Oreochromis niloticus: one gene and its partner. The protein of the gene in region 1 purifies or fractionates together with the protein of each later gene. This does not show direct contact. Links are inferred from orthologs where the notes say so. Each region holds a gene or a part of one and is shown on either strand. Other genes may lie near its edges.

Evidence for each region. The genes of interacting proteins can lie anywhere in the genome.
Region 2: the proteins of hectd1 (region 1) and znf622 purify together in Homo sapiens (affinity purification with mass spectrometry; 4 studies listed by BioGRID, with this or other methods). This does not show direct contact. The link is inferred for Oreochromis niloticus from reciprocal best matches to the Homo sapiens genes HECTD1 and ZNF622.

Annotation. Positions count from the first base shown.
Region 1 is NC_031983.2:3,635,481-3,643,423, reverse strand, and holds the start of hectd1 (E3 ubiquitin-protein ligase HECTD1), read right to left. Parts: upstream 3,008-7,943; 5' UTR 2,805-3,007; intron 2,777-2,804; exon of another isoform or gene 2,633-2,776; intron 1-2,632. UniProt on the Homo sapiens protein: E3 ubiquitin-protein ligase which accepts ubiquitin from an E2 ubiquitin-conjugating enzyme in the form of a thioester and then directly transfers the ubiquitin to targeted substrates.
Region 2 is NC_031982.2:32,333,053-32,340,839, reverse strand, and holds the start of znf622 (zinc finger protein 622), read right to left. Parts: upstream 3,009-7,787; 5' UTR 2,854-3,008; intron 2,151-2,853; 5' UTR 2,145-2,150; coding exon 1,568-2,144; intron 1,389-1,567; coding exon 1,104-1,388; intron 931-1,103; coding exon 768-930; intron 625-767; coding exon 509-624; intron 1-508. UniProt on the Homo sapiens protein: Pre-60S-associated cytoplasmic factor involved in the cytoplasmic maturation of the 60S subunit.

The DNA of each region.
Region 1 (7,943 bases):
GGATCGGTGTTTCAAAGGATAGTTGCAGATTTCTGTCAGAATCTGCAGATTATACAGTACAAATAAAATGTTCACGTTTCTCCAACGTTGTCTTCCCAACAGTTTCACTGACATCTACACTGGATGGCCAGGAAGCGTTCGCGATGTCCTCTCGGGCGCTTCTCCGGCGCTGATAATTGGCGTCTGTCTTGTGTCAGTGACGTAAAAGACGGATTTAATGCGACATGACCGTTCAAACAGCAGTCACTTTCTAAAACATCGGATATGTATCGGATTCAGTACCACATACGAAAGTGACCCAGATTGGATTTGAAAATATCGGATTTGTGCCGTTCACACTGTCATACCATGATCGGATATGGGTCGCATAGGGTCAAAAAAATTGGATTTGATGCGCTTTCGCCTGCAGTGTGAACGTAGCCTTACTGATAATGTGCTTGCAGCCTTCATCAGCATCTCCAGTAAACATATTACAACCAAGAATTACATCATATTTGTATGGAGCAGAAAAATGTAATAATGATTAATTATTAGTTGTTATTAATTGTTAGTTTGTAAATTTATTTTGATCATGTAAACAATATACAGAAGTTAATTTAGCAAAGAAAAGAAAAAATGCTATACAAAATAAAGGAAAATACAAAACAACATGTCATCACATCCATGTGAATGACAGCTAATGGGTGCTTCAGAGGGTCTGCAGAATTAATACACTGGCATACATGTGTGGTGAATCAAGTAGGCGAAATCATCACATCATTTAAACAGCATGCTTTCCGAATGCCTTGCCTCAAAGTCACACATGGGCCTGCTAGTTTTGTCATGAAAGTACAATTTCCAACTAGATAACTGATACCCAGGAAAATACGCAATACTACTTAAATGATAAAACAATTCTCTTATACAGTTGAAAAAAATTTTTTTAGTTTGTCTGAGGTGGTGCTGTGCTTATGGTGAGCTGACACCATATTTTCATCGATGGTCAAATAGAGTTAGTAAGGTAGGTTGCTGCCATTTCTGTCTAGTTGCTGGTAGACTGTTAGACACAAATTACTGTTACCCTGTTGAATTAACAGTGTATTAATGTTACAAATGGTAACATTTGCTGCCTTGCTCCTACATTAACATTATCATTTTATTAGCAACTAGCTGTTATTTTAATGAGCCACAAAGACACAATACTGGCAGCACATATGAAAAGTTTTACTACTGCACACGTTCAGGACTGCCATGGATTGTTAACTTGGCAGTTGCTGGGTTTTCGATTAGGTGTTCCAAATTTAAATTCCGACTAAGAACTCAGGAATTACAACTTATTCAGGAATGCACCGTAAGTCAGACTTGAGGGGGCATTCCAGTTAAAAATTCTATTAGAAACTGAGAAAATCTGACTACAAATGAAATAATCAATTTGGAAGTGACCTCACTCACAGTTCTGACATCCAACTTCAGAGGTAAATGGGGCAGCATTTAACCAGGCAAGTATTAACAACCAATTCTTATTGTACTTACAGCGATCTGGCAAATGGAAAAGCTGCTTAGGGAAATGTGGGTAGGACTAAAAAGAAAACTAATTTAACACCAACACATACTGGAGAACACACACCTGTAAAACTTAGTTAAATTATCTAATCACAAAAAACTACTTTCGCGTAGACTGTACCAACTGATTTTGTTGAAACCATCTAGCCGAAACATAGCTTTTCCAATGAGGAGTGGATACCTGAGACAAGGTTAAAAGAATGTAAGCGCTCCATAAAGCATTTCTTAAACCTGAAAGACAGAAATTAAAATATGGACATTTATTACTCAGTAATTCGGCAAAGTTCGCTTAACATGATTTAAACCTACAGAACAGCTGTCACGCTCACAATATTGTGAAACAGTTACGGTACACCAACCTAATAAAAGTTACACATAACAGTTACACAGCAAACTGGTAAGAGAAGTGACCATTAGGTAAATAAAACAAAACAATGATATAAAAACAAATGTTGATGTAGTAACACAAGAAATCAACATTTAAATGTTCCCATGTTGAACTCAAACTTTTATACTTTATATTTACACAATGTTAAAAAGTCGGGCAAAAAAAGCTTTGTTATGACTAATGGAAAACAAACACGTTCAGCCATATCCGAGAGAGCTAATCGTATGACCGCAGTTTTTATTATTTGACGAGCCATACGGAGCCTAATTATTCACACAAATCAACTTAAGAGGACATAGAACAGCTATGTTATTGGAAGCGATAAGCCTTAGAGTTAGCTGTCCAGTCGGGTACATACAGTTTTATAGTCGGGTGAGTAGCTTTACTTCCAGATTCGCTAATGTAAAGCATCGGCCGATGTCAGGCCGATAAACCGAAATAAAGCTTAAAAAATCTCCATAATCCCCCAACCTCAGACTCAGCCGCTTTCAATTAAGTCATACAATTGTTTGTCCCTCAATATAAAAGTAATTTCATGTACCGAAACCCGGAAAGCCGGCTAATATTAGCCGATTAGATGGCCTTAGCACCACGTTAGCTTCCAAAAACAAGCAGACTTTAACAACAAAAAAGCTTTTTCCCTACTAACAACTGAAGCGTCTTGTCCCCCAAAAAAATTTTAACCATTAAAATAATTTATACCTGTATTTTATGCTTGCTTTGCCAACCAACTATACATGCGGCCTCGGACTTCTAAAGGAAACCACCGGACTCGAGTTCCAAGAGAGCCGAGAGGCCACGGTGAAACAGCGGACACAAAACTCAAGCGACAACGGCCTCGATCTTCAGGTCACCAGCAGAACGATTCACTCACCGTTTTTGCTCTTTTTGACAAAGAGACGATCGACAGGTGTATGAATAATTCTTCTGGGACAAATACAGGGTACAGAGCCGTTTGTGCCGGGAGTTACGTCAAGGTGCTCCCATTTCTTCTCAACGAGTCTTAAGAGGTCAGAGTGGACGGCGGCCCGCAAAACACAGCAGACCGGACTGAAATGGAGAGCTGAGGCGATTGAGCCCGCTGCCTTCAGAGGTCGCCATCTGCCTCGGAAATGCCAATGTTCAAAAGCTATTCGCTTCATTTTATCATTAATATTTTTAATTATTCACAATAAGTGTATATATTACGACTTATAAATCACAAGCTCTCACATAAATATCATTAAAAAATAATAGATAACACACTGAATATTAGCGCGGCGAGGATTTTAATTTACAGATGTCCCAAAACAGCTCCCACATCTCCCTTAAAGTTGAATTTATACTTATGTAGTATGTAGAGCCAAGGCGTAGCATGTGCAAGTGGCCGTTTGCTAGTGTCCCTGCATCAAACAGCCATGTGTAGTTAGATTACTAGAGGTACACATCACGTTACCCATAGGTTATGAGGTAGGGTTTCAGAAGGGTTTGCAGTTACAACTTAACTAAGGTGTAGATGTAATGCAGAAGTATAAATATATAAAAGTAAAGCAGAAGTAAAGGTAGAAAAGTAAAAGTAAATATATAAAAGTAAGTATAAATATTTATAGGTATTCTAGGTGTTAGGACCAATATATTTTCCTATATTTTCCAAAGTTTGTTCATAACAAACACCATGCTGTTCACAAGTTCACATAGCAACAGATCTGCGGCCATATGTCTTGGACACTTAAAAAGAGCTTCTACACTGTCAACTGATCACCACCTGGTGGTGAATTGGATCAGATGGCAGGGGAAGATGCTAGCCAGACATGGCATACTGAAACGTATAGTGAGCAAGCATTGGGGACATCTGGCAGTCCTCCAGATCTTCAATTCCCACCTCTGACAAGACTTCGATTGCATTCTGAGGGAGGGTGGGGACAGTGAGTCTGAGTGGACCATGTTCCACACCTCTATTGTTGAGGCAACTGCAAAATGCTGTGACTGCAAGGTCATTGGTGCCTGTTGTGGCAGTAATCACAGAAGTTGAAGGAGGCTATCAGGTTGAAAAAGACGTCTTATCAGGCTTGGTTAGCCTGTGGGAATCCAGAAGTAGCTAACAGACCAGCAGGTCAAGTGGAGTGTGGCTGACCTAAAAACTCTGGTGTGGGAGGAGTTGGTGAGACCACTGAACAAGACTTTTGGTCTCAAAGCGGTGGTGGGATTTCACTGACCTCAACTGAGGACATAGGTAAGGCAGTGGAAGGAACACTTAGGGCAGGGGTCTGCAGCCTTTTACACCCAAAGAGCCATTTGGACCTGGTTTCCACGCAAAAGAAAACACTGGGAGCCGCAAATACTTTTTGACATCTAAAATGAAGATAACACTGTATATATTGTTTTTTATCTTTATGCTTTGTGTGAACAACTAAGGTGTGCTGCTTATGAAATCCATGAAGTGCTACAGAGAAAATTAAATTATATTTATGTAATCAACACATTTTGAACTCTTAAAGAAATATAACAAAAGGAAAGACACCAACCTGAACTAGAATGATCCATGTAGCAAACAAAAACTGTCAGCCGCCACCCTTATATCGGAGGGACTTTCGCACTGGAGAGGGTGGCTGAGACTTTCATCCTTTCATCACAGGATGACTTTCATCACAGGACGAAACACCTTGCTACCATCCTTGCACCTCTCGTGGGGAACACCCCACACCACATCAAGAACTCCACCGACTTCACCGACAAGGTCCAGAAACTTACCCTGGATCCAGATGAAACCATGGTGTCCTTTGATGTAGTCTCTCTCTTCACGTGCATACCCACCACGGAAACAGTGGAGACTGTCAGAAAACGACTACAAGAAGACAGCTCCTTGGAAGACAGGACCAACTTCACACCCGATCAGATCTGCACACTGTTAGACCTCTGCCTTACCACAACATACTTCAAATACAACGAAGGCTTCTACAGACAAAAACATGGCTGTGCCATGGGCTCCCCCGTGTCACCTATTGTAGCCAACCTTTACATGGAGGAAGTGGAAAGGAAGGCTCTTGGCTCTTTCAAAGGAAGAGCACCCAGCCACTGGTACAGATATGTAGATGACACCTGGGTCAAAATCAAGACACAAGAAGTGGAATCCTTCACTGCGCACATTAACGCTGTGGATAAAAACATCAAGTTCACCAGGGAAGACACAAAGGATAACTGTTTGCCTTTCCTGGACTGCGCCGTGCACATTGAAGAGAATGGCAACCTCAACATCGAAGTTTACCGGAAGCCCACACACACGGACCAGTACCTCCTCTTTGACTCCCATCACCCTCTGGAACACAAACTTGGAGTAATTAGGACCCTACACCACCGGGCAGAACATGTTCCCTCTAAGCCTGAGGGAAAAAAGAAGGAACACACACACGTAAAGGAAGCACTCAAAACATGTGGTTATCCTAACTGGGCGTTCATAAAGTCAGCAAAGAGGCACAGAAAAGAAGATCAGACACCAGCGAGGGAGGATAAGAAAGACAGACGCAACAATGTTGTCATCCCCTATGTAGCCGGTGTATCAGAGAAACTCAGGAGAGTTTTCTCCAAGCACGACATCCCAGTGTACTTCAGACCCAGCAACACACTCAGACACAAACTGGTTCACCCGAAAGACAAAACTCCAAAACACAGACTTAACAACGTGGTGTATGCTGTACAGTGCAGCGAGGAATGCCCAGACCTCTACATTGGAGAGACCAAACAGCCACTTCACAAGCACATGGCACAACATAGAAGAGCCACCTCCACAGGACAAGACTCAGCAGTCCATCTGCATCTTAAGGATAAAGGTCACTCTTTCGAGGATGCCAATGTTCACATTTTGGACAGAGAGGACAGATGGTTTGAAAGAGGAGTGAAAGAGGCCATCTATGTCCACTGTGAGCGACCATCTTTGAACAGAGGCGGTGGTTTACGACACCAACTGTCTGCCATCTATAATCCAGTTTTGAGTTCCCTCCCCAGACGCCTTAACGCCCACTCACATCCTGGGCCATCTGACCTCAGGAATTCACATAACAAGGTGGGGCCAGGTTTCACAATGAGCTCACCCGAAACCCTGGCTGATTAGGTCCCACACCCGCTTTCACACCTTGGCTCATGTGATTAGAGGATCACCAGGGGGTCCTTTGTCCCTCTTTGGGGGGATACTCCCACTGGGTTTAAATCTGGGACTCTCGGCCATTTGACCTTAGAACTGAAGAAGCTTCTCGGATGAGAGGTGAAACGTCTTCAAGCAACTTAAAGAAGTCCAGACGCTTTTCTTTGCAAATTCCTTTGACTACAATGGGACTTCTGCTCCTGAACCTCTGCGCACAGAGTCCGCAAATCGGGGCTATACGAAGTCAGTTTACGCAGGACTGTAAGCTGTCATCTGTCAGGCGTGAACAGTGTTTGTCTTTAACATAGTTCACGGTGGAGAACAGCTGCTGACATAATGTGGATCCGAAGATCCATAATTGGCCTACCTGGGGTTGAAAGTCTCGATAAATGCACGGCGTTTCTGCGGGTATACCGGCTTCCGCGAGGGTGACTCTTATTTTGAGCGATGAAAAAATAATAGAATATAATTTTATTTTTATATTTCAATATCACAATAATCTTCCAATTTAGAACTACGAGTAAAAAGAACTAACATAAATAAAATACACTTCAGCTAAATACTTCTAATTTATTTGCCCAAACCACGCGGAGCCGCACTATAAGGACTAAAGAACCGCATGCGGCTCCGGAGCCGCAGGTTGCCGACCCCTGATTTAGGGAATACCTCAATCCCACTGTCATGTTTTCTGTATGGAAGAAGAGTGAGGCTGAGGGGATGACTTGCTTATCACTTGAGGTGAGGTCACTGATTGAGTTGAATAACTGCTCCGTGGTAGGGTAGCTGGGGTGGATGAGATTCACCCTGGATGTTGTGGGGTTATCCTAGCTGACATGTCTCTGAAATGTTGCATGGAGGTCTGGCGGTGGCTTTAAATTACCAAAGTAATCTTACGAGAGTCCGTCTGTTAGTAAAACCATGCATTCAGGAGGCACAATGTTGTTTTCGTCCTAGTCACAGAACATTGCACCCATTCATTATTAAAGTGTGCATAGGAATTTGTCCAATCAGTTTGCATGTGTTTTGTGGACCTGGAAAATCTATTTGTCTGCATATGTCAGGACATGCTGTGTGGGGTATCTATAGAGTGTCTGGCCAGTTGTTACAGGCCATTCGGTCCCTGTACAAATGCAGCAAGAGCTTGGTTTGTATTGAATACAGTAAGTCAGATTCATTTCCAGTGTGTATTGGTCTCTTCCAGGGCTGCCCTTTGTCACAGATTCATAGTTTTTATGAACAGAATATTTAGACATAGCCAGATGGTGGAGTCTCCAATTTGGTGGGCTTTGTTGAAAAACATCTTTGTTTTTTTTGCAGATAATGTGCTTCTGTTGACTTCATTAGCTTTTGACCTCCAGATTGCTCTGGGGTAATTGCTTTTGTAACATTGCTGTATTGTGGATGTTGTACCAGGTTTTCATGGTCTAGAGAACTGAAAGTGGAGGTGTCAGTTTAGCAGTTGAGACACCTTCCTAATCTTATCTATGGTCAAATGTGTGGGTAGAAACAGAAGGAATGACTGGCAGAAATGAGCTTAATCCAAGGGGTGTCTTGGTCATTTGGCAGAGGCTCAGATAGGATAAACAAGCTTAAAATTGCTCAGCCTACTGTGAAAAGTGAGTTTACTACCCTGAATACATCAACAACCTATGCAAGTTTTGTAATAAACTCTTCTGCTTTCAGTGGAGGCTCCATGTTTAATTCCCATTTGTTACAGTAACATAGCAGTATTACTGAACAGCAGAAACACACGTGACCTTGTTCTAACATTCAGGGAGAGAACTCGGTGAAAAGCTATAGGATGGAGACAAACTGTTGGCACTATGGCAATGTGACAACTTCCCTCAATCACTGCATATTTGCAATTATCATAGGCATTACTTAAGTTTTAGGTGC
Region 2 (7,787 bases), on another chromosome or scaffold:
CTTTTAATTTACATTTTGACTGCACAATTGTGAGCTCTTTGTTATGCACAAAACAACATAGTCTTCTTTTATTTATAGAGCATCATTATTTAATAAATGCTCATAATTTATTTTTGAGTAGTTTTTTCATGTACATCTATGCTGTATGTTAATAAAAGTGCCCGTGTGACATCTGGGACACAGCTTTGACTAAGAACTCTCTGTTTGTTCTTACTTTATGGCTTTAAAAAATATCGAGATATATATCTTATATCGCCATCCAGCTAAAAAATATCGAGATATGAATTTTGGGTCATATCGCCCACCTCTAATTTGGACAATCAGCATTGCAGGCTGAATCTATGTGACCCATTACCAACTAAAAACCACATCGGTGCCGATTTTTATGTTAGCCATGAAAAGTTTAGAGTTGTGGCTTATAGGGCAAGCATTTCATATAATTCCTTTACATACATTTAAGACTTGACCAGGATCTCCAATTATAAAAACTAATCTCATGTCAAGTCACCTGAAGGGAGCGTCAGCTCCATCGTCTCGTCGTCATATTCCAGGTTCTTGTCATCAGCCAACTCTTCATCATCCATTTCAGCATCCTCCCCCTCTTTTCTGTCAGGGTAACTACTCCTGTTGGCAAAAGAAAAGTGAAAATCAATGAGCCTTTGATGGGTTTAACGAAGCAAGATGCATTATATCTATTCCCACTAAACAAAAAAGGACCACTAATTGCTAAGCATTAAAGAGAGGCTCTGGTTAAATGTCTTTATTACCTGAAGTCATAGAAGTCTGCAAACTCCAGGGCGGCATCGCCATCTGTGAAGAGCTTACAGTGGCTTTTGTCTAACATGTGACTCTGTACTGCTTCTGTTGAGTAAAACGAACGCCCCTTTTCGTTACACCATAAGCACACGTTCCCAGCACCAACTTTTTCTCCTGTAAAACAAAGAAATTTTTTTTTAAAAATTGTTAGAGCACAAAAGAAAACATTCATGTGCAAAAGAGTGTTTGCTTTTTCATGTATGTGATGATCCTGACCACATCTTTCTGTAACTACACCATTATATCAATACAAGCCTTGCTGCTGCAATTTTACAGTCAAAACTCACCGAGGTAACGGATGAGGCCCTTCAGATCTATGAGGAACTCCACATCAGGGATGAAGAAACTGTGGACTTTGGTCATGTGTGTGACGTTCTTCATGAGGGACTTGGAGTGGTGGGAACAGAATAAGCAGTCAGTGATGGGGATGGAACCGGGTAGAGCGGGAGGTTGGGTATCAGACAGAGCAGTGGACTCGCCTTCCTCCTGATCCATCACCTCCTCTTCATCATCCGCCTCCATCTCATCACCATCATCGCCCTCATCATCTTCATCTACATCCTCCCAGTCTTCTACAACATTTTTATGGAAATACATTCAAACTAAGACAACATGACATTTTTACTGCTTTTTTCCCCCCTCTAAATTAAGTGCAAGTGTTGCTGTCAGCCTTCAGTTTATAATGTTCTGTGGGTGTGGCAAGAAATTCAGACAGTTGAGAAATGCTTTTTATTTCATTTAATCCACTCACCTTCACCAGCTGTGCCACCTTCTTCTCTTTCTCGCCTCTTGGCTTGCTCCTCCAGCCACATCATCCTGGGAGGTTTATCCAGCTTCTCAGTCCTCTGCTTTGTTGCTCCTTGTGAGGTCTGTGCATGGTCTTGCTGGGCAGGGCTCGATCTCTGCTGTTCTTTCAGCGCCTGTTGCAGGGCCTCATTCCTTGCGTCATTATCTACCTTTTCATCACTGAGCCCCTTCTCCAGGTTCTTCTCATTCATCTTCTCCACTCTCCTCTGGGCAGCGAGTAGGGTCTGCTTTTCGGCCTGTTGGTGTTTGTGGGACTGCAGGTGGTTCTGGTAAGCGTTGGCGCTGGAGAACTTCTTGTTGCAGATGGTGCAGTACTCAGTGGCTGATGCATCAGTCAGCTGCTGGTCAGCAGCGGACCTCTGAGCCAGGACACGTTCCTGGAAGTTTTCAGCAGTGACGGGGGGCATGTCGGCCACCTTCCGCTTCAAGTTGTACCGATGCCAGTCGGTTTTATAGTGTGCACGCTGCACCTCGCCATCTGCGAAAGCTACTCGGCAGCTGATGCAAGTGTACGAGGCCATTGGGACCTGTAGATTTAAATAAGGTTTACTTTCAGCACATAGCACAAAAATCAAAGGCGTCTCAATGTAGAGCTGTTTAACCATACACATTTTATTTGAAAGGAAGTTGCTTCTCTGGAGTTAGTTAAGTCTAATTTGTTAACAAATGTTTTACTTTGTTTACCCTTTCTGATGCTTCTTAACGATACCGGTAACGATTAGGCCTTAAAATCTCAATTTTAAATGTAAGATTAACTGAAAAAACGACGTATTCATGTACAAACATTCACCATTGTTTTATGTGATAACCATAAAATGTATATTTAAAAAAAAAAAACACGTGTAATGTTTATACATTTACTTTTCAGACGTGTGATGACGTCACTATTTTTAATGACCCGTCTGTATATGGATATTAGCATGGAAGCTAGCATACAGAGCTAGCCATTAGCCGGCTAGCGTTGTGAAGTCACGTGTTTACCTAACCACGCAGATTACTAGCGATACTAAACGCACACTGAATCTAAAATAGCTGCTACATCATTCAGTGTTTGCACGGTGGCGCTGCGCTGTTCCGAAATAAACGTACTGGGCAGAAACCAGCTCGGAAATTTCACGCATTTTAGCGCAAACACTGAAGCTAACAGCAGCTAAAATCATACGTTTGTAACGGTGACGATGACGACAGGAGCACATTACCACCACCGACTCTCCACCAATATTTACTCACCTGTTCAATGAGATGACTTCTCCGAAAAAGGTGTCTTAACCACTTTCTGGTATGTGCGCACCTGTCTCAGTGCCGTAACTACACCACAAAAACACGAGGATGACTTCCTGTTGAACTTTGCACTTCTTTTTCGTGGTGGGTTTTTTTTTTGTTTTTTTTTTGATCTGGCGCATCACTGCCACCTACCGTGTACAAAACGGTTCCTATTATACAAGGACGGCTAAATCTTTCACAACAAAAAGCTTTTATTGTGAACTGAAACTCAAGTAAAACAAAGGCTAGCCGTTAAAAAAATATTTTAAAAAAAGAGGAAAAACAACTTGAGAGCTAAATATAGGATGCTACATACATAGAGACACAGACATGTCTTTGGACTTTTGGATTAAGCAGGAGTACCCAGAGAGAACCCACGCAGACACGTGGCCAGCTGGTGGATTTAAACAACGTAAACCCCAAAAATTCTTGCTGTGAGGCCATAGTGCTAACCACTAACCTTGGGCAGATTTTTTTGGTTTTGTTTTGTTTTTTAGTCAGATCTGTGATGGTAATCAGTTTAACCTGGGTGATAAACTGAAAGGGTACAGGCTTGAACTGTTGGATTTTATTCCCACTGCTCTCAACACCTGTCTTATCTTCTGGAGGTATCTTGCATCCTGATTGTTATTCCCACTGGTCTGCCCTTGTGACATTTTTCCCTTGTAGCTGAGTGTACACACTGAATGGATCTTTGGATCCAAACTGGCCATTTATTTTCTTGCCCTCTGCTTCCATGGTATATTACTACTATAGTTCCCAGAGCTGTAAGTCTTTGTTTGGCAGTTTCTAGAGCCTCAGTTATGGACATCTTGTTTTACTTACTTTTCATATGCCTCTGCTTCCCTGAGTTTTGCTTTATGATTCAAAGTGTTTATTGTCAGGTGTCCAAAGAAAAAAAAGGCATTTCTCTGTGCAATGAAATTCCTTCTTTGCTGTCCACACACAGATGCCAATTAATATATACAATAGAAATAGAACATAAAATACAAATAGTACAAATAAATAAATGAAGACAAAAAAGAAGACATTATTGAAGTGTGAAACAGAGATGTGTGCAAAAGAGCTATGAGCTTAATATGCTGGCTTAATATGCAGGATGACCTTATGTGCAAAAAATTATTATTACTGTTCAAAAATAGGTCAGCTGTTCAGGAGCCTGATAGCAGTGGGAAAGAAGGAGTTGTTAACAGTCTGTGTTGGGGGTGTGTGGGGTCTTTGAGGATGGAGGCAGCTCTCCTCTGGACTCTGCGATGGTAGATGCTCTGCAGAGAGGGCAGCGGAGTCCTGATGATCTTCTCCACAGTTGTTATCACTCTCTGTAGGCGTTTGCGGTCCACAGCAGTAGTGCTGCCGTACCATGCAGTGATGCAGCTGGTCAGTGTGAAATGAATGAAAATAGACACTTTTCTTTTATTCATTTGGCACTTCATCATTAGCTGGTTATTTAAACAGGACCATTCATCACTCATTTGATGTCCAGTAGTCAGACTGAAGTTCAGTCTCTCCACATTGTTTATTAAGATTGCCATCAATGTTTTTTTAATCCTGCAGATGGTGCTATTGAGCCAAACACCAACACAGTATCAACACAATGACTCTACCAGGCCTCATCACTAATCCTTCCTCCTGTACTTTTCCACGGCTGGTACTAGCAACCAAGGTTATTATCGTTAACGAAAACTAACGAAATAACGAAAACTAGAAGTGAAAAAACATTTTCGTTAACGGAAATAAAAATAAAAACAAAAAAAGGAAAACTAACTAAAACTGTAATGAGTGTTCACAAAACTAACTAAAATTAACTGAATTTATAGCAAAAAGGCGTTTAGTTTTCGTTGATGTGTGCGTGTCATACAATAGTCAAGGGTGAAAATTAAGTTTAGTTTCCAGGTTTTTTTCTTGCTGTGTCTCATTATGCCAGCAGGTGGCAGTACGTTAGTCGAGTCGTCTGTGTTGCTGCTCCGTCCACGCGCAGAATCATGTCAGGAAAAGTCTGGAGAAAGCACCAGAGTCCAATTTGGGATTACTTTGAATATGACTGTGTTTTGGATAAAGCAAGTGTCTTGTAGTGGAAAGAGACAAATTATGAGGGACATTTCTAAAAGGAAAAAAATCCCACAAACCTTAAAGTGCACTTGAAAAGCTCACACAAGAAGGCTAACCTAGCTTACCTTGAGAAGGTAAGGGAGCACGCCCAACCCTCATCCCCAGAAACAGAAGCTAACACCAGGCAAGGCAGCGTGATGCATCCCGAGACAACAGGACTGGGATATCTACATAACTGTGTGAGTCAATTGCCTTAACACCCGGTGCTGCAAGAGTTAATAGTCTCATTGGGGCCAAGATATACATTTTATAGTTGCCTGGTATCAATGGTTGTTCATCTGCCTTTATTTATTTATTTAAAGAACCCATAGGTGGCAACGTGAGTTGTCTGTCTCTGCGTGTTAGCCCTGCGACAGACAGGCGACCTGTGCAGGGTGCAGAGTATGGTAGCTGGAATAGCAACATACCCAAGGATAAGCAGAAGAGAATGACTGATATGATGAAACTGGGATTTTGTTACACTTTATTGCAAACACAACTAAAACTATAACTGAAACTAATCAAAACTAAACTGAAACTAAGGATTTTCCAAAAAATAAAAACTAAACTAAACTAGCAAACAATTGTTAAAAACTAATTAAAACTAATATAAAATTGAAAATCTGAAGTCAAAACGAAATAAAAATAAAAACTAATGAAAATTGCAAAACTATTAAAGCCCTGCTAGCAACAGCAGCGTCCTGTGACTACGAGGGCTTATTAGTTGTTATGAGTACTACTGTTGACAGTCGGTTCATTTGACACATTTTGCTGCATTTATTTTTTAGGTTGTTTTTTCTGTCTTAGTTTTTCAGCTACTTCTTCCACATTAAACTCTGTTGTGCTAGGTGCGTGAGCACATGGTGAAGGTAGGGGAGGGGCCCGGTGTTTTAAGAGATTTGGGCAAAACAGTGTTGGTAATAAAAATGTATGAATCATAAATGTGGCCCTTCAACTGACGATGCATCAAATGATTGGCCACTGTGCACTGGCCGAGAATGCCAGATTACCTTACCAGTCCAGCCAGGTTGGACAGGCAAACACACAACATGAGGGGAGTGCACAACAAGGCACTGAAGGAAAGTAAGGGCTTAAATACACATGAGGTAATCAAGAAGATGGAACACACAAGGGAACACAGGTGAATTGAATCTGACTTACATGACAGGGGAAGCAAAACTGAACATGTCTTATGTGCATATATGAGACAGGGGACTATCAAAAATAAAACTGGAAGTAACACGTGCACACCAAGACTCATACTATGACATGAGAACTTTACACTAGGACTGGGGACAAATGGGCATGGAGTTATGACAAACTGGGGAGACTGAAGGTAAACAAGAACAGAGATGAAGAGCAAACACAGAGACACAACTAGGGCAGACTAGACACGGAAGGGGAACCAACATAACTGTGAAAAGATTTTGTTTATTATTCAAATATGCTTTGCTTGTGATTGTGTAAACTCTGAATGACGATTCACTCTGATAAACATGAAGCCTTGCCTATGCTTATCAAATGCCTGTGAAGACAAGTTCCTGTGCAAAGAGCAACGGAAAGTTCCACTTAAGCAGACGTTTAGTATAGTACGGACAGAATGTTTAGTAAGATATGCATTTGTCAGTTAAGCAATCTATATTCTGAGAACAGGCGGAGACTGCCTCCGTCTGCTGTGTAACCTACATGCCTATATAAACTGCAATAAAGAAGAGTACTGGTGTGACTGTCTCTTGAGACGCTCACCCCATGTACATGTGATTGATTATATTGTCTCACTGTGTCTCTGTTTTACTTTGGCAGCCTTCTATTTGGGAGATTTCCCCTAACATTTCTTGGTCCTTCGAAGCCGGATGAGACAGCCTATTTAAAGCAGCTCTCACAGAAAGCACCTCACCAGGTCCCGTCGGTGCGAGAAGCCCACGTTGAAGTCTGCCGGCAGCTCACATACTAGGTGTGTGATAAAACCCAAGAGCGTGAATTCGGGTCTTGGTCAACGTTTTACAAGCGGTCCGCACCGTCGGGGGCTGATCAGGTGCATCTCAAGAAACCAGCGCCAAGGTAAGACAGACTACTTTGAGATAATAAAGGTTTGCGCAAAAACGAAAACGAAACTTAAAAGAAATAGACTCGTCCAAGAGAGACTGGAAGCATTAAGCTCGTCTTGAGGACTGGTAGTCAGCTCGCCCGCAGAGGGTTGGAAGCACTAAAATAAAGATTGAGCTCGTCATAAGTGATTGGTAGCTCCCCGAAAGGGTAAAATAGGCCTAGCTCGCCCACAGTGGCTGGAAGCAGTACGCTCGCCTTAAGAGGCTGGTAGCGTGAACGCGCGTTAAAACTGTCTGTCTTTTATTGTCTTTTTTGGTGGAATAAGTTGATTTTTACAGCACAATAAGGAGGCTGAACTATTCCACTGATTTGTTTACTGTTGGTCGCTGAAGTACTGGTGAGCTGAGAGGAAGGTCGTGTTTTATCACGTAAAGGTGACACCGCTTTCAAGAATAGCTGAAAGTAGAAGGGCGTGTCAGCTACCTCTCTCTGTTCTCGTGCCAGTGAAAGCGCCGCAGGTGTGTGTGTATTACTAAGCGCTAAAAGAAGCATAAACTAATAATGGGAAATAAAGCAACAAAACTCACTGCTGACGAGCAGTGGCTAGAAAAGAAATGTCTAGGCGCCGGACAAATTAGTGCATATAGATGGAGAAATCCAAAGAAAACTAAATGTCCCACGTGGGAGGGAAAATGCATTAACTAAATTATAAGAAACCCTCCAAGCAGAAATAAATACTGAAAAGGAAGCTAAAAAGAAATCAA